Arabidopsis thaliana: one gene and its partner. The protein of the gene in region 1 interacts with the protein of each later gene in a pairwise test. Each region holds a gene or a part of one and is shown on either strand. Other genes may lie near its edges.

Region 1 (10,846 bases):
CTATTCACACACCTTACACATACTTCTCAAACCAGCTACAGGAAAAAGTGCACAATTGAACTTAGATGTACTGAAAATTCGAGATTTCTGCTATGCATAAGCCTATATGACCTTAACAAGCGAATCGCTAATACAAATTGACTAAAGGATGAAAATTTATGCACTTATATAGTCTAAAGTAACTCAGAAATGAACTTAGACGTACTGAAATTTTGAGATTTCTGCTATGCATAAGCCTATATGACCTTAAAGAGCAAATCACTAATACAAATTGACTAAAGGATGAAACTTTATGCACCTATATGGTCTACAGTAGCTGAAAATCGAACATTAAACTCTAGCACAAGTGCTACAAAACAAGGAAGAACAAATCGAACCTAAACAAATCGAGATTAAATAATTGAAATCGAAAAGAAAAAACTCGCCTGCCAAGCATCGAGAGTTCCTTGGAAGTTCTGAAGCCAGCGATCAGCGTGCACACGCACTGTATCATCCGGGTGATGATACAGTGCGTTTAGGGCTTCTTTGACCGCGTTCTGATGCTCCATAGCTATGAATCTTTACGCGTTATTCGCTCGTACGGTCACCAAATCACGACCAGAGAGAAAGACCCAGATTGAGAAATAGAAGAATTTGCCCAACTGAAATTCGGGATTTTGTCAAATCGATTTCGCCCAACAAAAACAATAAAAATAAAAACTTTTTTTTTCCCTCTTTGTCAAAAAGGTTTTTTTTTGGCGCCCCTCAACTTGAGTGAGGAAGAGAGATAGAGATCGAATTTTGATCTGAAAGAGGATGAAGAAGAGAGAATCTCAGCCGTTAGATACAATTACTTTGACTTAAAGTCAAATCCTTCTTCTTTTATTTTGAAGACAGAAGTTGTTTACTTTTTTTCAGTTGTTGCAATAAATTGAAGACAACAAAAAAAACGTATCATTGATTCATCATAACATAAAGATTATACAAAGGACAAGATTTAAGACCAACATATGTTACTGAATCAATTGTTACAAGTTATATAATAGGACAATACAACAATGTTTTATAAAGTGTTAATCTCTCTGGTCACTCTCATATTCTATCTTATGATATAACAGCAAAATGATACACACGCATAGGATAAAAAATAAAGGGTTGCATTCATTTTTACTGCCTACAAAACACATCCATCAATCAGAGAAAGACTCTTTTTTATGTGGTTCGGTTAAAGTTCCCATCAACCTGCATATGGAGCCACTCCGGTTGAGATACTCGGGTTTCATTAGCTTCTTGTTGCTCGTATATTGTTCGATGAACGTCAATCGGTAAAGTCCCGAGCTGATACAACACACCAAGAGCTTTTAGATTTAGTAGCTTTGATTAAGAAAGATAAGATTTTTCTATGTTCTTTTAGATTTGGGACTTACATCACCGGAAGGAAAAACTCCTATTGTCGGACCAGTACTTGCACCCGAGTTAACAACTTCTAGCTTCATTGATAGAAACTGCAGACCAAACTCCATGCTTAGGCATGTATAATTGTAACATATAACAGAGAGGTGTTAACGACTTTTACCTCAACTTGCCGCTGCAATGACTGAATATAATTGATAATCTCATCGAGCACAAGGGCTTTTCCGATTATCTGATCAACAGAAATATCTTGTTGAATGTTTTTTAGGCTATAATAACATCATTCACAAGCAGGGACCAAAAGAACATGTACCTTATTACATCCTGGAATTATATCTTGAAGAGCTGTCATCTTCTCACTGATCTTTTCTCTTCTAGCCTGTCAAAGACAACATTGTGATTCTAATAAAAGGAACAGTTTTTGAGGATAAAATTTATGGTGATTTTAGCAGAAGAATTACTCGCTCTGCTAAACTATGCCGGTCAGTAGCTTGTCCTCTTCTTGCTCTCACATGAATATAATCCTTTGGTGGCTCAGGTTTGTTCTTCTGTTCCGTTGCTTTGCTTCCACCACCACCCGAACTTGTTTCGCCTTCAGGTCTCATCGAACCATCTCCATTTCCACTTTCAGATCCACACAGTTTTCTTTTCTTATCCCCTGATTCTTTCTATTAAAAAAGTAAACAGATGGAAAGCTTTAAGATCCTAAATCAAACTCTCAATCTAAGATCACTAAGTAAGCATTGACCATTCCAACATCTATCAAACTAATGGTCTTCAAGCTGAATCCAACTTAAGTCAAAAAGTCAATGGAGATAAGTCATCTAATCTATAAACTAATCCTTGATCCCTAAACCAAAGACTTAAACTTTGACTCATTGATTTTTAGATCACCACCAAGCTAAAGGATCTAGATTCAAACATTCAAAAGACCCAACAAATAAAAATCAGGACTTTTCAAAAATTGAAGTGCAAAATCTCACCAATTCATTACCACTGCTGCTGGAAGAAACCATCTTTGAAGAATCATCCTCAGAGTTCAAATCTCTAGTCTTTCTACTTCCCCAGCCAGCAGTTAGATCGGTGACTGTAGATTCCTCAGCCGCGGAGACGTCTTTATTGCCGGAATGTTCAGAGCGAGTAAAGACTCGACCGGAGTTAACAGCTAAACGGAGACCAGAGCGAACGGCGTCGTTTACAGGGAAAGGCCAAATCTCGGAGAGAGTGTAAGAAGAAGGATTAGCTGCAGAGAAGGAGGAATCGTTCACTAGTGGAGGGTCCATTTCCGATGATCGTAAAAAGGGTTGACCCAGATTTAGGACCCGGATCCGAGAAGTGAGGAACTTGATAGAAAAAAAGAAGGAAAAGGTTTGAGCTTTGCGAGGTCTTGTCTTGTTTATAGGGTTGTGTGTGAGGTGGACAAATAGAGAGAGAGATCGGAGAAGGTAAGACAGATGTGGGTAGTGATAATGCGCCACTAGTATGCAATGGAAGATGATTTATCACCAATACTTTCAGAAAATCTCATTAATTACACAGCTTACATCAAATATTTTGCCGTTTCTGTTATAAAAAAAATATTACAATGGTAAAATTTTCGTTTCGTTTAGAAACAAAATTGAATAGAAAAGATATATTATGGCGCAATAACCTAAATAATTTCTATCAAAAATAAAAAATAAAAATCTCACAATTATGTCTTTTAGTTATCCTTTGATTAAATTATTTTTTACTGTGAACAACTTTGGTAATTTTACTGTGAACAACTTAAATACACCAAAGGACAATGCATCTCTCTTAGAAAAAAATACATACTAGCAAAACCAAATCATGTTACTTTGGTAATTTCATTCTGACGTGTTTAAGGAAAAAACGTATATGTTTGGATTAAAAATTTGATCTTCGTACCATATGTCCATCCTAGTAAGTACTCGATCGCCTATGTTTACAATAATATTCACCAATTAGTGTTTTTTTATTTAACATAGATCTCCCACTTCATAGTCATATGTTTTATGAAAGTTAGTTGTGTAAAGTGAAGGGAACCACACACCGGTACGTAGGATACGATCGAGGATGTGACAATGGGCCATATATTTAAATTTTAAATGCTTAATCACAAAAGCCAAAATTCTAGCTAAATATATAAAACGCTAATATGAAGGATAGATGACATGTGTTTTAGTCTTTTTGTTTGCATGTCAACGTTCTTCACGTTAAATTTTTAAAAATTCAGAAGCTATAGTTTTATTATGTTCAATGTAGTTTTAGCCTTTTTGGTAGATGACATGTTCAAGGTAGTTGCGGAAAAATACAAGGAGCCAAGAGTGTCATTTTTCGTTTCGATGATTTCAACCTTCATTTGTTGTGTTTATTATAAAAGTTTGTATTTTTGAATGATGAATACAGAGATATCAAACGTTTTTAAGAATACAGTATATAACAAACAAAAAAGCTCTAAAACTATTCACTGAGTTAAAACTTTTAAAAGTCAATTCTATAGCATTGAATGCTCTAAATGTGTAGCAAGAAAATTGTTTAAAGACCAACAAATTAGAAATTGATGTTTTTCTGCAAAACTTTTTTAATTATTAATTTTATTATCGAATTAAGTGGAATATGTTTATATTTTGATGAAATAATGAAAAGGTGGAAAAGACAAGTGTAGAAAGAGAAGACACCTGGATGCAAAGGTGTCACACATGAAGCCCAATTCCTCTCTTTCCATTTTTCCCATAAAGCTTTTTTGCTCTACTCATCAAGATACCTCTAATAAAAAAACAAGAAACACTATTTTTTTGTTATCAATTTCTTCTGTTCATTTCAGTTTGGTCATGAAATTAAGAAAATTAATAGAGAGAAAAGTCAAAAATAAAAACATGAGCATAGGAGTACTATGTGACTTCATTGGTGATGGAATGACACAGTTGGCCGATTTAGCACCGACTAAGTAGACATTAATCAATAATAGTTTAAATTTCAAAATAAGAATCATATCTACTAAACAATCAAATACATATGATTCCATCTACTATTATTGTTTTTTTTTAATTTATAAATCATATAGTACTAATTAACTAATAATTTCACATTCTGTCTCGTGTAATCAAGACAACCTTTTCGATTTGTTTTTTTGGTCGATTTGCTTAACCTTAAAAATCTTATTACTTCAATTATAAGATTAAAATTCGACAAAAACATAACGTTTTTCCTTTTTATTCTACTGGTGGTGGAAATAATCATCTAGAATAATAAAATTACTTTAATTTGAAAAGATAAATCCAACGAATCTATAACTTTAATCGAAAACTAAATAAAATAAGGAAAAAGAGAAGATTTAAAAGCGAAGAAAAGATTCGAAAAAGAGAGAGAGAGAGATGGACCAAAACGGCGGTTTATTCAGACGTCAGCAGCACTAACTAAGAAAGAGGAGAGAGCTTTAACTCTTCCCCTTGCTGCTTCCTTCTCCAAATTCTCCTGACGCGTTTCTGTTCATCTTACGATTTTACACGTCTCTCTAAAGATTTAAATTTTCGACTTTACGTTTCTTTCGGGTTTTGAATTTTCTCACTAAAGATTTGTCTTTTCCATAGAAAGTTCTTGAATTTTCTCTCTTCGTGTTCAAAGGGTTTTTCAGAATTTATAGTAACCCACCAATCTACTGATTGTCTCCGTTCATCGTAATCTCTCAAGATTTGATTTTTATTTGTTTTTTGAAATTTTGAATTTTGAGATTCTGTTCCTCTTTGATCATCATCACTAGGGTTTTCTGTTTCCAGTTAAAAAAAAGTTTGGATTTTTCTTCGTATAATTTAGGAATGAGGAAGCCCAAGTTGTCAAAACTCGAGAGGTTAGAGAAATTCGACATTTTCGTTTCTCTAAGCAAGCAGAGATCGGTTCAGATACTAATGGCGGTTGGGTTACTCTACATGCTTCTTATCACATTCGAAATCCCTTTCGTCTTCAAAACCGGGCTTAGTTCTTTATCTCAGGATCCGTTAACCCGACCCGAGAAGCACAATAGTCAGAGAGAGTTACAAGAGAGACGAGCTCCGACTCGACCTTTAAAGAGTCTGCTTTACCAGGAATCACAATCGGAATCACCGGCTCAGGGTTTAAGAAGAAGGACTCGGATCCTTTCTAGTTTGAGATTCGACCCGGAAACGTTTAACCCGAGTAGCAAAGATGGGTCTGTGGAGCTTCATAAATCTGCTAAGGTAGCTTGGGAAGTTGGTCGAAAGATATGGGAAGAGCTTGAGTCTGGGAAAACGTTGAAAGCTTTGGAGAAGGAGAAGAAGAAGAAGATTGAGGAACATGGGACAAACTCGTGTTCTCTCTCTGTTTCCTTAACCGGGTCTGATCTTTTGAAACGTGGGAATATCATGGAGCTTCCATGTGGTTTAACTCTTGGGTCACATATTACAGTGGTTGGGAAGCCACGAGCTGCTCATTCGGAGAAGGACCCTAAGATATCGATGTTAAAGGAAGGAGATGAAGCTGTGAAGGTTTCACAGTTTAAGTTGGAGCTTCAGGGTTTGAAAGCAGTGGAAGGAGAAGAGCCACCTCGGATACTCCACTTGAATCCAAGGCTTAAGGGTGATTGGAGTGGTAAGCCTGTGATTGAGCAGAACACTTGCTATAGAATGCAATGGGGCTCAGCACAAAGATGTGAAGGATGGAGATCTAGGGATGATGAAGAGACTGGTTAGTGTAGATATGTTCAAAAGCATTTATCTTTCATCTGTTGTTTTTCTTGGTGTTTTTGTTGGGGATACTAATTAGTAAGAATGGTTGTAGTTGATGGTCAGGTTAAGTGCGAGAAATGGGCTCGGGATGATAGCATTACATCTAAAGAAGAAGAGTCTAGCAAGGCGGCTTCATGGTGGCTTAGTCGATTAATAGGTCGGAGCAAGAAAGTAACTGTTGAATGGCCATTTCCATTCACAGTTGACAAGCTTTTCGTGCTTACTCTTAGTGCTGGATTGGAAGGCTACCATGTTAGTGTCGATGGGAAGCATGTCACTTCCTTTCCATACCGAACTGTAAGTGATGTTTTGCCCTGGCTTAAACATGTTGTGGTTTGATTAGTGATTGGTGTGAACTGATGGTTGTCTATGTGCGTGGTTTCTTGGCAATATATGAAGGGATTTACGCTTGAGGATGCTACTGGTCTAACCATTAACGGGGACATAGATGTTCACTCTGTTTTCGCTGGCTCTCTCCCAACCTCGCATCCTAGTTTTTCTCCTCAGAGGCATCTTGAGCTCTCGAGCAATTGGCAAGCCCCATCACTTCCTGATGAGCAAGTTGATATGTTCATTGGTATCCTTTCTGCTGGTAACCATTTTGCTGAGAGGATGGCTGTGAGGAGGTCGTGGATGCAACATAAACTCGTTAAATCTTCCAAAGTAGTGGCTCGGTTCTTTGTTGCACTGGTAAGTTTAGACTAATTTACAAGTGATCTGATCTTGGTCTTCTAGGTTAAAATGTAAGAGCTTCTCATATCGAATTGCAAGCTAAACTCAGATGTTTATTTGGGCAGCACTCAAGGAAAGAAGTAAATGTGGAGCTAAAGAAGGAAGCTGAATTCTTTGGGGACATAGTTATAGTCCCTTACATGGACAGTTATGACCTTGTCGTCCTCAAAACCGTTGCAATTTGCGAGTACGGGGTGAGTCCCGCTGATTCAAAGATTCAACACTTGATGTTGTGTTTTCAATTATTCAATATAAGGTAAAGAGTTTCTCTATTCTCTGTTTTGCAGGCTCATCAACTTGCAGCTAAATTCATCATGAAGTGTGATGACGATACATTTGTACAAGTGGATGCGGTTCTTAGTGAAGCAAAGAAAACACCCACAGATAGAAGTCTATACATTGGCAACATCAATTATTATCACAAACCACTTCGCCAGGGTAAATGGTCTGTTACATATGAGGTAAAAAGCTATGATCTTTTTGCCTAAAGAATCATTTGTATCTGTTCTTTTCTCATATGAATTCAAAAGTTAATGTTACATTATCTGCTTTGCCAGGAATGGCCAGAGGAAGACTATCCACCTTATGCTAATGGCCCCGGATACATATTATCAAACGATATATCTCGCTTTATCGTGAAAGAGTTTGAGAAACACAAATTAAGGGTATGAGAATTTCCCATTACCTACTCAATTTAAAACCGACCATGCATATCTATATAACCCTTTTCCTTTCTTTCTCATTCTTGATACTACAGATGTTCAAAATGGAAGATGTAAGCGTGGGAATGTGGGTAGAACAATTCAACAATGGTACAAAACCGGTGGACTACATTCACAGCCTCAGGTTTTGTCAGTTTGGTTGCATAGAGAATTACTTGACGGCGCATTATCAGTCGCCGAGACAGATGATTTGCTTGTGGGATAAGCTGGTGTTGACAGGCAAACCTCAGTGCTGCAACATGAGATGACACATACCAAATCCTTTTCTTTGGTTTATAAAAGGAAATAGAAGTCCGAAGAGTTCTTTTTTTTTGGGTAGTAGTTTATAGCATATAGTTTCGGTTGTATTATATCATCTTTGATCTTTAGTAACGAATCTAAAATGGATGTTTTCTTTTGGTCGAATTCTCTATTAATATTCATTCTTTCCTTTAAACTTATTATGTGCCCATGAAAGCCTTTGCTAAACCGTAGTTTTGTCCAACGACGAGTTTTGGTCTTCCTAAGCCGTAGCTTCAATAAGAATTAATATTTCTTGTTAAAATGAATCATAAGAATAATGTGTAAAAATGTTTAACAATAATTAAAACACTCATATCTTTTAAAATTAATAAAATTTTTAGAACCGGTTTAATATTGCGGCACCTTTTTCACCATATATATAAGCCCAATTTTAAGAAGGTCTATAAATGATCAGACTATAGATGTATGGCATTTTTGTGGGTAGTGTGAATTCCACTACCAGCGAATTGGTAGAGATATAATAACACATACATTGTGTTCTCGACTTGACCCAAAATTGCCAAGACTAATTTAAAACTTTTCACTTACAACCTTTTTTAATGCATTTTTTTTTATAAATTAGAAGTCCATATAGAAGAAAATAATCAAACATGTCTCATAACAGTTAAATAAGGAGTAAAATATTCCAAAATACTTTGTGAGAAGTCATTTTTATTTTAATTATGCTATTTTCATAGTTATCTACTACAATTATTTTTGTTTGATTTTTTATCATAATATTTGTCTGAAATATTTGTTTTTGGCAAAAAATAACCTCATCTTACATAGTTTCCTATTCTTGGCAACAAAATACACATATATAAAATGATATATATATATATATATATGTAAGTATGTTTGGGTGTGTTTATTTTTGCATAATTGGATTCAATAACTGTAAAAGAAATTTGGAACCGGTATCATCAAAATGGAGAAAATGGTGTTGAGGAAAGTGGTTCTTCTTGCCATTTTGTTGTCTCTTTCATGTGAGTCCATCATTTTAATTTAAATACATAATCTTTTATTATGTTCTTTAGTTTTCAAAACATAATTGATGCTCAAACTTGATTCTGGTTTAGTTGAATTGCGTGGTAGAAATACTAGTTGACTGTTTTTCTTTTGTTTTTATAATCTACATTTTGAGTTGATTCTACAAGAATCTCTTTTGGATTTTAGTCGTTTAATCTATCGACACTAATTTAAATTAGTGCATCAAATTGGTTATTTTTCAACTATTCTTATATGTACATGCTAGGTTTATGGGTAGCTAAAGCATTGGAAGGAGAATCAAAAGTTAGTGGACAAGTGAGAGATGAAACACCGCATACATGGTATTGCAAGTACGATGATAATTGTCGTGAAAATTGTCCAGGTTGTACTATCACTAAATGTAACTACGGAGTTTGCATTTGTTCAAACTGTTACCATCAACAATCAGATCTAGGTGTTGAATCGCATATGTAACTTTAATAACAACAGTAATAATGATTAAATAACTACATAAACTATTTTTACATCTTATTTGATTTTGGGTTGTTTGATGCAAAGATTATTACTCCCTATGTTCCTAAAAGATTGATGATCTAGAATTCTCAAAAATATTAAAAATAATAATCAGTATCTAATTATTTGTCGATTATTTTTTATGTTAATTTTTTTAATAAATTTGAACCAATAGTGTAATATGAAACAATTAATCATTGTACCTTGAAGTTTATTATATATTAAAAAAAAATCAATCTTCGTGGAACAAATTAAAGATTTATAACATCAATCTTTTAGGAACATAGGAATTCCAAAAAAAAAAGGAAGTATATATCTTAAGTTAATTTTAGGCATTCCACCAATCAATTTGCTTATCGTCTTTTTATGGGTCGCTAAATTTTGTCAATAAATTTCTTCTTTTATGGTTTATGTGAGTGGGATCCAAAATTCTCCATCTTCTAGCTCTTGAGAGAGTATCACTATGTATTTATTTTAATGCTCTTCAACAAAATATCAATATGCACTAATTCCACTAAAGAAGATTGCATACTAAAATAAGAACATTCAAATAGGCTGATATTGTATTTTCATATACTTTAAGAAAATGAAGCCAGAGATTACAATGTTATTAACTGAGTTTTAGTTCATGTATATTATTAACTTATTAAAAATAAAACTCATATATATGTGTAATCTTCTTTAATGGAATTCTATCTACACTGTATAATAATATAATACTTATAAAGTGAAATAATTTAATTGATTGGATGAATGCTTTACTTTATTTATCTTCTATCCTAACATATCCTTTAACAATACATTTCTTAATCTTATATGTATATATATATATATATATATTTGTATGTTTTTTGGAAAAATATCACCTCAAATCTTACTTAATAATTTGTATGTATATCCTTCCAAAAAAATAAAATAATTTGTGTGCATATGCGTGTATATATATATACATATACTCCCAGCATTTAGATATGTGTGAATTTGTATAATTAGAATCAATATTAGCAAAATGGAGAAAACTGTATCGAGAAAAGTAGTTGTTCTTGCCATTTTGTTGTCTCTTTCATGTAAGTATGTCTACGGTCTATCTTTTATAAATCATGTTTTCATAATTTTCATTTATTTCTTACATGAAAATTGATGCCGAGTTTTGATTTTTAGTTTGATTTGAATTCGTGTCCTAGACATACTAGTTATATAGTATATATTAGAACATCACACTTTTTATCAAAAAATCATTGGTTTTAAAATCTTAGGACTAATCTAGCTAATTCTAAAATAACTCGATTTTTTTATAACTCGACTAATCTAGATCTCGTTGCAGTCGTACTAGTCTCAGGACTAATCTAGCTAAAATAACTCGATTAAATCCTTTGATTACCGTACGCTAAATTAAATTAGTGCATCATATAGGTTTGTGTATAGCAAAAGCATCAAAGGGAGAAGAAAAAACTAGTGGAGAACTAAGAG
Region 2 (10,752 bases), about 22 Mb from region 1:
ACTGTATCAGTTCTAGGCTCTGAAGTGTGCTTAATATATCTTCCGCTTTGATTGCTGTCACGTCGCTCAGCTCCTACATCATCATACATGAAACAGAGACAGATGAGTGGATTCTTAGATCGCAGAAACCAGGATTAGCCTAAGACTTTTTATCAGTTTGAAACACAATCTAACCTTGATAGAAATGTTTCCCTTATGTTTTTTCAAGATTTCTAATAGAACACGAGTCCAATAACCTCTGTAGCTTAGTAAGCCTAGATCCGACAAGGGTCTTTCCGGTGTCCCAACTTTTCCCTCTTTCTTTGACAGTTCATAGGCTGCAACTCAGAAGAACAATCTGTTACTTATTTTTGTGGACATGGGATTGAGAAGAGCAAAAGGGTCAAATGGGCAAAGAACTTACAAAAGGCTATTAAGAACTTTCCATAGCCTTTTCTTTGATATGAAGGCAGGGTTAGAATGCAAGCTAAGTTGTATGCTTCTTCCGAATGCTTCTCCTGGACCCAGTAGAAGTTACGTTTATGAGCAAACAGGAAAATGGAAACCAAACATATATGTAACTACTTTGCTATATTACCTTTGAAAAGTACCCAACCATGTGGCATCCTCGGTCATCACATTCGCAAAGAACGTAGAATAGAAACAAATCAACATCGTAGTAAAGAGTTTTGTGGTCAAGAAATAACTTTGCCAGGTAGCAGAGATTCTGTGCATAAACCTTGTTCTTTTTGCCATCTACCTGTAAGATGAGAGTACGGTTAGAGAAAAACGTTCCTGCTAATGTAGAACATAACCAGATGAGAGATAAACTAATCAGCATCCATATACGAAAAAAAAAAACATAAGAGAAAGCTAACGATACATCATATCCAGAGCAAGAAGACCAGAGACCTATCTCAGGATATTACCTCAAACATTGACAAGGTACCACTTCGGTAAATTTCATCACCAGGTGGGTGCTTCAGGTCACACTTCCTCTGCAGGAAAAAAGTAAGGAAATTATACAAAAGCTACAAGATAAAATAAAACCATATAAATGCAACTTTAATGAACCGTGAATGTGGATATGCAAGTCAGTGACAATATTCAACAGAATCTGAAAGGTTGGGTACTATCTTCAGCAATGAAACTGGAATGCAAAAACATAGAATACAGATGTGAAACCAGACTATTGAAGCTCGCAATGGAAATGTAATTAAAAAGCATCATAAGACTTCAAAGATAAAGAAAAACAGTTGCTCACCATATGCCTTTGAAGCTGCTCTTTGCGTTTCATGAAGTTCAGGCAAAACTCACAAAAAAAGAGCTTCACACAGTCATTGTATTCTGGCGGAAAAGGGGAGAAGTACCAAGTCTCAATCTCATATTTTCCAAGCTCAATTGTTGATATGTTCTTCACTTTCGTGAACTCTTCATGTTCACGCAAACTTGCTGCATCCAGCTCTTCATGACCCTATAAAAACATTTCGAAACACAGAATACTGAATCAACACAAACCTTACGTTTCCAGGACCCGCCTTATATTGGCATTCATTACCTCTATATGTGTCTCATCGATCTTCCTCTTCTGGTGACGTGTCATCTTCAAGCTTGTTACCTAGAAACCACAGACATAAATCTCTGCTCATTGCTAAACGTATATGAGAAAACTCATGAAATCCACATTATGCAACTAACAATACAAAACTAGAGAACGCACCTTGTCTTCCACTTTTTCATCTACAGCGCACTCTACTGAATCAAGGTCCAGTTGGTCCAGCTGAGTCCATTCATCCAGCCTCCTATTAACTGCAGTTTCGAAAACAAATTACCAAAATCAAACACATTGATGATCATAAGATTTCAAAATCACCAACTTTGTCATCATATTACTCAGCTTAATCACAATAGTATAAATGGTTCAAAATCTTTAGAAGCAAAGTATAATGCAGAATTTGATCTCCTTCTCAAAAATCTCACACAACTTGAAGCCAATTCCAATGATCCAATTGATAAAGTCTTGCAATTTAACTCTTTTTTCTTCCTACATTATAAACCCTTGACTAAATTTCCACCTTTGTGAAGCTCAACAGTACGAATCAACCAAAATTGAAAACCCTACATCAAAACTTGATAAGGAATTAAACGACATACACTCAGTGTAATGAACGTAATACTCGTAATCATTTTGACCGCCGTTATGTATCCGCCGGCGCTCAATTACTTTCACCGGATGGTGTTTCCCGTCTCTCCACCGACACATCACACGAGTACCCACTTCTAGAGGAAGCATCCCCATTTTCCTCTTCTTCGACGGATCCGACTCTATAATAGCTTGATCAGGAGTTAAAGGAGGAGGAGGAGGATGAGACCCATCAACGCCGTTCGTAGCCGGAGGCTTTTGATTCGACGACGGTGGCGGTGCGTTGCCGTTGGTTTCTGTATTCGCTGACGATCCCATTTCTCGGTCGGGTCGGAGATTCCCGGGTGGGCTTTCTTTCTCATACGAGTAAGAGAACTAGAGAGAGAAAAACGGACACTTGAAATAAATCAGGCCCATTAGTAACTTTTCACATAATTGGGCCTATATTTATGGGCCGTTAAAAATATTGATATTTAATGGTGTGAAGTACATACATTTTCACCGGGATCACAGTTTATTCATAAAATTAGAAAGTTGTTTGATCATGTAAGAATTATCTCGAATCACATTGAAATATTTCTGTAGTAAAACGAATTAGATTTGAAAATATATGAATCATACCCATGGCTATTTAGTGACTATTAATGCATTGTTTGAGCTAAATAATTTGGTTAGACGTTAAGTTCTTGCAATTATCTCTAGGATGTGAATGAATGTATAACTATGTGGCAAAAAGAAAGAAAATATATTAAATGATTTCGTTAGCAAAATGGATATAGCTAGGTTTCCATGAATCTCACTGACATTTCATTGTGTCTTTATTAAAACCTATGAATGTGAGGAGACACAAAAGTCAGCGGAAGTATCCATGAGTGAAGTGAACAAGGAGCATAGGTTTCCTTGAATTAACCTCTCTGCTACTTTTCTGAGATTTTCTGACCAACAAGTGTGGAGCAAAGCTCTGGTGGTTTAATGCTTGTTTGTAGTCAAAGGTTTTCTTTTTATTATTGGGAAGGTAAAAAGAGATCTTGCAACTGTTTTAGTTGAACTTCTATTCATTAATTCGAAGACAAAACGAGCAAGTACATTTTCTCTGCACCATCCTCTTTATAATATGTCTCGATATATACTCTCTTTCTGGAGTAGAGTATCTGTATACCTTATCGGTTTGTTGTAATTTGAGATTACTTTATATTACAAAACATCATTTTATGGGATGATTGTCGTAATTTTCATTATGCTAAACGTTACTATAGCTAAACATTTTTCGTTAACATTTTTACAACAAGTATAATCGGATACGTTTAGTCTGTTAGACTTTTTAGTTTTCAGGTGATGTTTAATCGGATACTAACAAGTATAATCTAATAGACTAAACGTACGGATATTATTTTCATAACAACTTTTTTCTTTTTGGATTTTTCGTTGCTAGTTGTGAAGCTATATATTAAAAAAAAAGCCCTAAAGCTTATTGTAATTTAGGAATTCTTAAAGCTTATTCTAATCATAACAAAACGATTTTCAATATGTATAGGTATTAACGTTCAAAGTGAGGTATGTACGTAAAAAGATGAAAATGAAGCAATAGAGTACATTCATATTATATGCTCTAAAATATAGTACTTCACAAATATATGCGTTGTGTGTATACAAAGACAAAAGTCCACAGTAATGATAACACTATTTAAATAGGGTTCTTTGATGGCGTCATGGTTCTTATGCCCGAAAAATGCCCGGCCAAAACTTGTATACAACCAAACTCCAAATCAAGAACTTATTATTATATACGAAATGATAACATAATATTAAATATATGGTGGTACACAACTCAAGCTAACCGTTATGATTATTCCACAACCTTTTCACGGTCAACAACAATATATTATATATCCTAACAAACCCTTATTTCGTATCCATTTTTATTATATATAAACACTTTCCATAATTGCACCATTACTCACACATTATAGCATAATTTAGTTACTACTAATGGAAATGTCATCTTGTCTAGATTAATTCTCCTACTCCTCTTCCCCCACGGCCGAAACTTGGCGGTGGTGGCGGTGAAACCCATGACGTCGTCACCGCCTGAGAAGCTTGATCTTGCGGCGGCGGAGGAGTATATCCGGTATTATTATTGAGTAGCCGGATCTGCCGTTTCAAGAACTTGACATAGCGTATAGCTTCATCGAGCATTGAAGCCGTATCCATTTTAGTGCCACCTGGCACGAGTCTCTGAAGAATTCTGATCCTCTCACTGATTCTCTCACGGCGATGTCTAGCCGCCACACTCTGAGGGTCGTCGGAGATCCTCACGTTACGGCGTTTGGGTTTCTTGACGGTTGCTGGGTCGATGTCAACCGATTGCATGGCTGCGATCTTGTACATCATTTCCTTCATAGCACCGAGTTCCTCTAGAGGTTCTTCTTCGTCTTCGTCGTCTTCTTGATCTCCGGAGAGAAGAGTGGTGGTTGTGAGGGAAGAAGAGAGAGGAGGGAAATGAGAAGAAGAGAAAGGATTGAAGATATGGAGCTGTGTGTACTGGTCCATGGCCATACCGATTGGATCATTATTATGTTGATGATGATGATCATCATTCTTGTTGTTGTTGTTGCTGCTGTTGATGATGTTGTTCCAAGTGTAATTTTGGAAGAGAGATGGGTTCATATTATAATTATTCATAATTTTTGTTTGTTTGGTTCGTAAAAATTTTAATGCTTGAGGCGATGCTTATATGTATATATATATGTGTGTGTGTGAGCATATATATATATTAAAGGAAAAAAAGAAAGGTGATCATATGATGAGGGGTTAGGTTGGTGATGCAATTAAGGATTTTGGTTCGGAGAAAAAATAAAGAATAATTTTATTTATATGTATCTTTTCAATAAGTGGACGTCACTAGTCGTTACCAAAGAAAAAGATTAAATTGTATATAGTTGAATAAGAAGTTTTTTTATGCTCCGAAAATGTTTATAAACGTTGTAGCACTTTTGTATACATATAGTTGGCATAATCGCTTTTTTTTTTTTTTTTTTAATGAGCAGCTCCAGTTGACTAATGAGATAGTTTTGAGTTGGCTAGGGTTTCCCTCTCCCACATTGAGACTTGAATTTAGGGTATATCGAGAAAGTGGCTTTCACCAAAGTAATAAACTAATAACCACTAGCTATAAGAATGTGAATTACTTTATATGAACATGAGTTTCTCTTTGATTCACAAAAGATGTCACCACTTGTGTGCTCTTATTCTGACTTCTCAATTTACAATCCCTTTAATTATCTCCTTCTCTCTTCACAAAACCCATTCACTAAAATAGGAAATCTTGATAAATTTTCTCTCATTCTCTTGTCTCTTCACGAAATAGCACATTTTGTTGATCCTATACTCTTATCCCGATCAACGGTCGTGATTTTCTCTCTCCCCTCGATGGAGTCCAATATTGAATGTAAATTGTGTGTGAAACTCGCAATGTTATATATTATTATAAAACAAATGATCAACTTGCTTTTTTCCACAAAGCTATTCTATAACTTGCGACGTGATTAAAGGTTTATAAGGATAACAAACATCAAATCACTCGCATGGGGACACCTTAGCTTCTTCAACATTTGGGTGTTATCCATGATTGTCATTAATAAGAAAGACGTGTATCATCGTCGTGACTCGTTTATATAAGACGGTGGTGAATATATCATTTTCCATGAAGCAATTTCTGCTTTTTATTAACAAAGTTCACATCTACGTAACAACGTTCTTGTATACAAGTGTATAAAACAAACACAAATCCGTAAAATACACGAAATTTTATGAGACTTCAAAAGAGGCAAATTTATATACGTTGTTTCGATCCGTTTATACAAAAATCAGACGGTTCTGATTTAATGTGACAAGTTTCTTATGTCATATGCCTCAACACAAAAGCAATGTATAAATACACATGTATATGTACATATATGAGATATAAGCGTATATTTTGCACATATGTTATGATTTGGTCTGCATTATAATCATACAAATTGCGCATGCAGGCTGCAATCATGCATTATAGGGTTACTTCTTTGGTATTAATCCATTGTTCACTGTATATTATATTCTTATTAAATCCACCCAACTGCCAACTACATGTATGAACATCTACTTATACACACACAAGTTTTGGAAATTAATTTGATTCGATATAAGTATACACTATATAGTTTTCGCATTTATAGCGGTTTAAAATGAAAACCGCAATTAAAAGAGTAACTGTGTATTTAATATAATAGCTAGCATTCGATCATATTATTAAAGTATATAACAGTCATGAGCAAGACTTATAATATAATATAGTTTAGTTAAAAGAAGTTTTATTTTGCCATGTATTTTATATAATACAAATTCGGATGGATTGGAGCAATGAACAATTTTTTTATTGCCTGATCATAAATTTAGAGTGTTTTTTAATTAAGTCTATTAATATTTTTCATACATGTGAAAGTTAAATGATTCATTTTGGACAGCTAGTTTCTAAATTTCCACAAAAACATGTAAAATAATAGAATATATAAGACACATAAATTTAATTTACTTCTTAAATCTATGATTTCATTTAGAATACATATAGTATTTTATTATTACTTTTTCCTTTTTGGTTGTATGTACATTTCTGCAACTGTGATGTGAAATATCATAATGGTTTATAAAGCTTGTATAATATGTTTCGAAATGTATACCGAGTTGTAATAAACAAAAATTGAATGCAATTGATTTACTAAATCATGTTTTCTTTTAAGCAAATTATCACTAGCTTATCTATTATGATATGGTTTAAACATGTGACAGCTCAAGCGGCCCCCATTTCGTCTGTGTATAAAGTGTAACCGTAAACCCTAACTAGATGAATCTAGTGTAAATGTATATAGTACATATACACGTGAGTGGGTGAAATAACTATGCAACATTTTCCGATGAAGATTGAATCATAAAATCTGACAATCTCCATTATTTTCATCCAAATTATCGCGTACATAAAAAAGCATTAAATAACTATATATATATATAGGCCATACATATATAACTATTTTTTTCAGCAATTGTGCTTCTTCCTCCTTTTTATTAATAGCGATACAATCTTCCGTCTTTGTGCGTTACGATTCCCAAAGAACCACACCCTCATTTCCTCAGAGTCTGGTCTCTTACAGCGACTTCTCTTTTTCTTTCTTTTTTGGATTTCCTCTTTCTGCTTCCACCATGGAGAAGAACAAACAAAGAAAAACTCAGTGTTGTTTCTTTCCAAATTTGAACACTTTGTAATCTAGTGATATCACTTTATCTTACTCCAATTTCACCGGTTAGGTTTGGTCATTAAAAATGATCAAACCAAAAAAGAAAATGTATAAGTAATCACCAGTTCACCACTTGGCTTAATTCATCCAAAAATAAAATTTCAAATTGGCTATATATCAAGTTAAGAAAAATAAAGCTAGACGAAAAAGGTAGGATATATATGCGTTATTGTATTGATTTCTATAACTACGAGGGTAGATTATGTGTTATAATATTAGTAATGATGCTAAGTTTTTTAAAATGGAGTAGCAAAAAAAAAAAACATGTTTATTTTTTCTCTTTCGCGAGAGGATCTAAAAAGTCTACAAAAAAGTGATTACAAGGCATGGGAAGCTGCAGTGAAGAAAAGTGAAGAAGTCTCTTGTTTGGTCCGAAAGTGTTAGTGTTATGGAAAACTCTTTAATGAGTTTTTCACTTTATTTTTCTTTCTCTTTTGTTTTTGAGGGGAAGAATATTACACATATGAAATTGACTTCGAGGGTTTTCATTTTCTTGGATTATTGCAGGTACAAACGTATTTCCAGTATCCATGCATAGACGCATAATGCCGTATTGTAGCTACATACACGAGAAGTAGACAGTAGACTCATTTAACAAAAAACCAAATAGACTCAATCAATTATATGTTTTGATGAATATTTTAACATTCAACGATTAATATATCCACTAATGAACATTCTTTTTTTTCCAACATCCACTGATCAACATTTTGTTCGACGATAAGCATTTTTCTATAAAAAGGAATTCCTTAGCTCAGGTTTATGAGCATGCAGGGTAATTGAATCATCGTGAGTGGGGACAGTGAAAGAACAGTTTTTTTTTTTTTTCAAGTAAAGAACAATTTAGCCAATTTCAGATGATTTTTTTTACTAGATTAAATTAATTTAACACATTTTACTTAGAGGCATGTGATCCCACTCGTCTTAAATTACAGTACAAGTCCTAGTAAAACCGAACATTTTTGAAATCCAAAGAGTATAAGAATTGGGACAGAATAAAACATATATATAACCAAAAACCTGTAATTAGTTGGAACATCAGTCATGTTCCCTGCTAGGATTGGGTAAATTTTGTCTGTAATTAGTAAAAATAAATCTCCGTTGCCGGGACTCGAACCCGGGTCTCTCGGGTGAGAGCCGAGTATCCTGACCAGCTAGACTACAACGGATTTGTAATAAATAATATTAATTAGTCAATATGTTAGTAACACCAAATTTTTTGAAAAAAAAAAGAAAGAAAAGAAAACATTAAACAAGAGAAGATATAACATCCAAATCGTAAAGGAAAACAACATTCTTCTCAAAATCGGTTGTCTAAACTTGGGGATTTGGACTAATTCATACCTGGCCCCGAGCCCCCGACTTACCTGAGGATGGTAATTGTGGGTTTGGAACCTTAAAGCCCTAAGTTATTTTATTGGGTCATTGGCAAAGGTGCAGAATCCATCTTAGTGGGCTTATACGAGCCAAAAATATGGGCCGCTACAAACATCTGGTTATGTTATTTTAGACCAAAAATATATACATATACCAAACATGTTGGATATAAAAACTTATGAGATAAATGATTTCAGAGATTTTAGTATGTAATTGCCTATTTGGTATTCATTATGAAATCAAAAAAATTAGGTTATTTTTGTTGAAACTAGTTTATTTCTAACATCCTTCAGATTTCTTTCTAGTTTAACGTTTGATAATTTACGTTGAGATTTAAATGTAATTATCAAATTAACTAAAGATATAACCTCCAATCAAGTTAGATTTTAAAATTTACAAGTTTAGTATATTATAAACAAAAATTCAAAATTTTAACTACATTTATATGTATAAAATCTGTAATTGCAGAATAGACATAAGAGTCTTGAAACTGGTGATATAGTGTTTGCTAATACCAAACCTAACCAAATCAACATATATTCTAATCTCCAGATTAGTGTTTGGAGCCGATTGCTTACTAAAATTAGACTATTAATCGTATACTCCCTTTGTTCCATGAAATTTGATGTTTTAGATTTTATTTTTGTTTCATAAAGATTGATGTTGTAGGTTAATAATATTATTATTTTTGTTAATAACCAATAGAGAGAGGAGAGAAATAAGACTTATATTATTAAATTAACAGAAAATAATATAAATAATATAAAAATTACTTTTCTTTGTGTGAAAAACCCAAAACATCACTCTTTTAGGAACAGAGGGAGTATAAAATAAGAATCCAAAAACAAAATAAACAATAATTCGATATTAGGAAAAATGAAAAAAAAAGAAAAACTAAGAAAACAACAATTACCAACCGCAAGTCAAGAATCAAGATCAATAGCGTGAGACGGACCTAAACACATTAAACCAATACATAACCGGGGTCTTAACCGGACAATCTATTATAATCTCCTTATCTTCCCTAATAGAACCGTAATTACGAAAAAGGACAGTCACAAAACTCCAATCTCTCTCTCTCCTCTCCGTCTCTGCGCGCATGATCCCCCCCATAGTGTTCCACTACGCACCGCCCGTGACTCTCTAATGGTCTGTGACTTGTAATCCATCTCTCCTTATTTTTATTTCAATTTTATTTCTTTCCAAAATTTTAATTAATTTCCACACACACACACACCTATACATATATATACACACACATTCGTCTCTAATGGCTTCTTCGAAACTCCATCATCATCCTCACCGCAGAAAATCCCCAATACGTTGCTTCTGTCTCTTAATCATAACCATGTCCTCCATTCTCATCCTTCTCTTCTCTCTCTTCCTCTTCTCCTCTCCCTCCTCCTCCTCCCGTCACCACCACCACCACAATTCCGGCGACACTTCTCCGGTCAATCCTTCGTCGTCTCTCGCCGCTCAGATCCGTCTCGCTTGTAACGCAACTCGTTACCCAGACCAATGCGTCTCTTCCCTATCCGAACAGGGTCGGGTTCCTCCGGATCCTAAACCAATCCAGATCATTCACTCAGCGATCTCATTCTCATTCCAAAACCTCAAAACCGCCCAATCAAAAATCAAGTCTATTGTAGACTCGTCCGTAGGGAATCTAAACCGTACAAACGCCGCGAACACGTGTCTCCAGCTTCTCACTTACTCCGAGCACCGCACTCAATCGACGGATCAAGCTTTAACACGTGGCAAAATCAAAGACGCTCGAGCTTGGATGAGCGCTGCTCTAGTGTACCAGTACGATTCATGGTCAGCGCTCAAGTACGTCAACGACACGAGCCAAGTAGGTGAAACGATGTCGTTTCTCGACGGACTTATCCACGTCACCAGCAACGCGCTTAGCATGATGGTATCGTA

The links. Proteins that work in one complex are often made in the same cells at the same time.
Region 2: the proteins of AT5G62610 (region 1) and HEC3 interact in binary tests that used the Arabidopsis thaliana proteins (3 or more experiments, as listed by UniProt).

What each region holds. Positions count from the first base shown.
Region 1 is NC_003076.8:25,131,926-25,142,771, forward strand, and holds AT5G62610 (basic helix-loop-helix (bHLH) DNA-binding superfamily protein), read right to left. Parts: upstream 4,141-10,846; 5' UTR 4,074-4,140; intron 2,982-4,073; exon of another isoform or gene 2,956-2,981; 5' UTR 2,676-2,955; coding exon 2,376-2,675; intron 2,061-2,375; coding exon 1,854-2,060; intron 1,772-1,853; coding exon 1,706-1,771; intron 1,625-1,705; coding exon 1,556-1,624; intron 1,485-1,555; coding exon 1,407-1,484; intron 1,318-1,406; coding exon 1,192-1,317; 3' UTR 923-1,191; downstream 1-922. Other genes in the region: MOS14 (ARM repeat superfamily protein), read right to left, coding at 426-548; AT5G62620 (Galactosyltransferase family protein), read left to right, coding at 5,211-6,096, 6,190-6,434, 6,537-6,827, 6,935-7,063, 7,157-7,330, 7,427-7,534, 7,627-7,839; AT5G62623 (Putative membrane lipoprotein), read left to right, coding at 8,802-8,859, 9,129-9,337; AT5G62627 (Putative membrane lipoprotein), read left to right, coding at 10,386-10,443, 10,790-10,846.
Region 2 is NC_003076.8:3,022,272-3,033,023, forward strand, and holds HEC3 (basic helix-loop-helix (bHLH) DNA-binding superfamily protein), read right to left. Parts: upstream 4,844-10,752; 5' UTR 4,805-4,843; coding exon 4,130-4,804; 3' UTR 3,838-4,129; downstream 1-3,837. Other genes in the region: HAM2 (histone acetyltransferase of the MYST family 2), read right to left, coding at 1-73, 175-317, 404-497, 578-739, 909-977, 1,244-1,453, 1,538-1,597, 1,700-1,788 and 1 more; AT5G09760 (Plant invertase/pectin methylesterase inhibitor superfamily), read left to right, coding at 10,097-10,752. UniProt on the Arabidopsis thaliana protein: Required for the female reproductive tract development and fertility.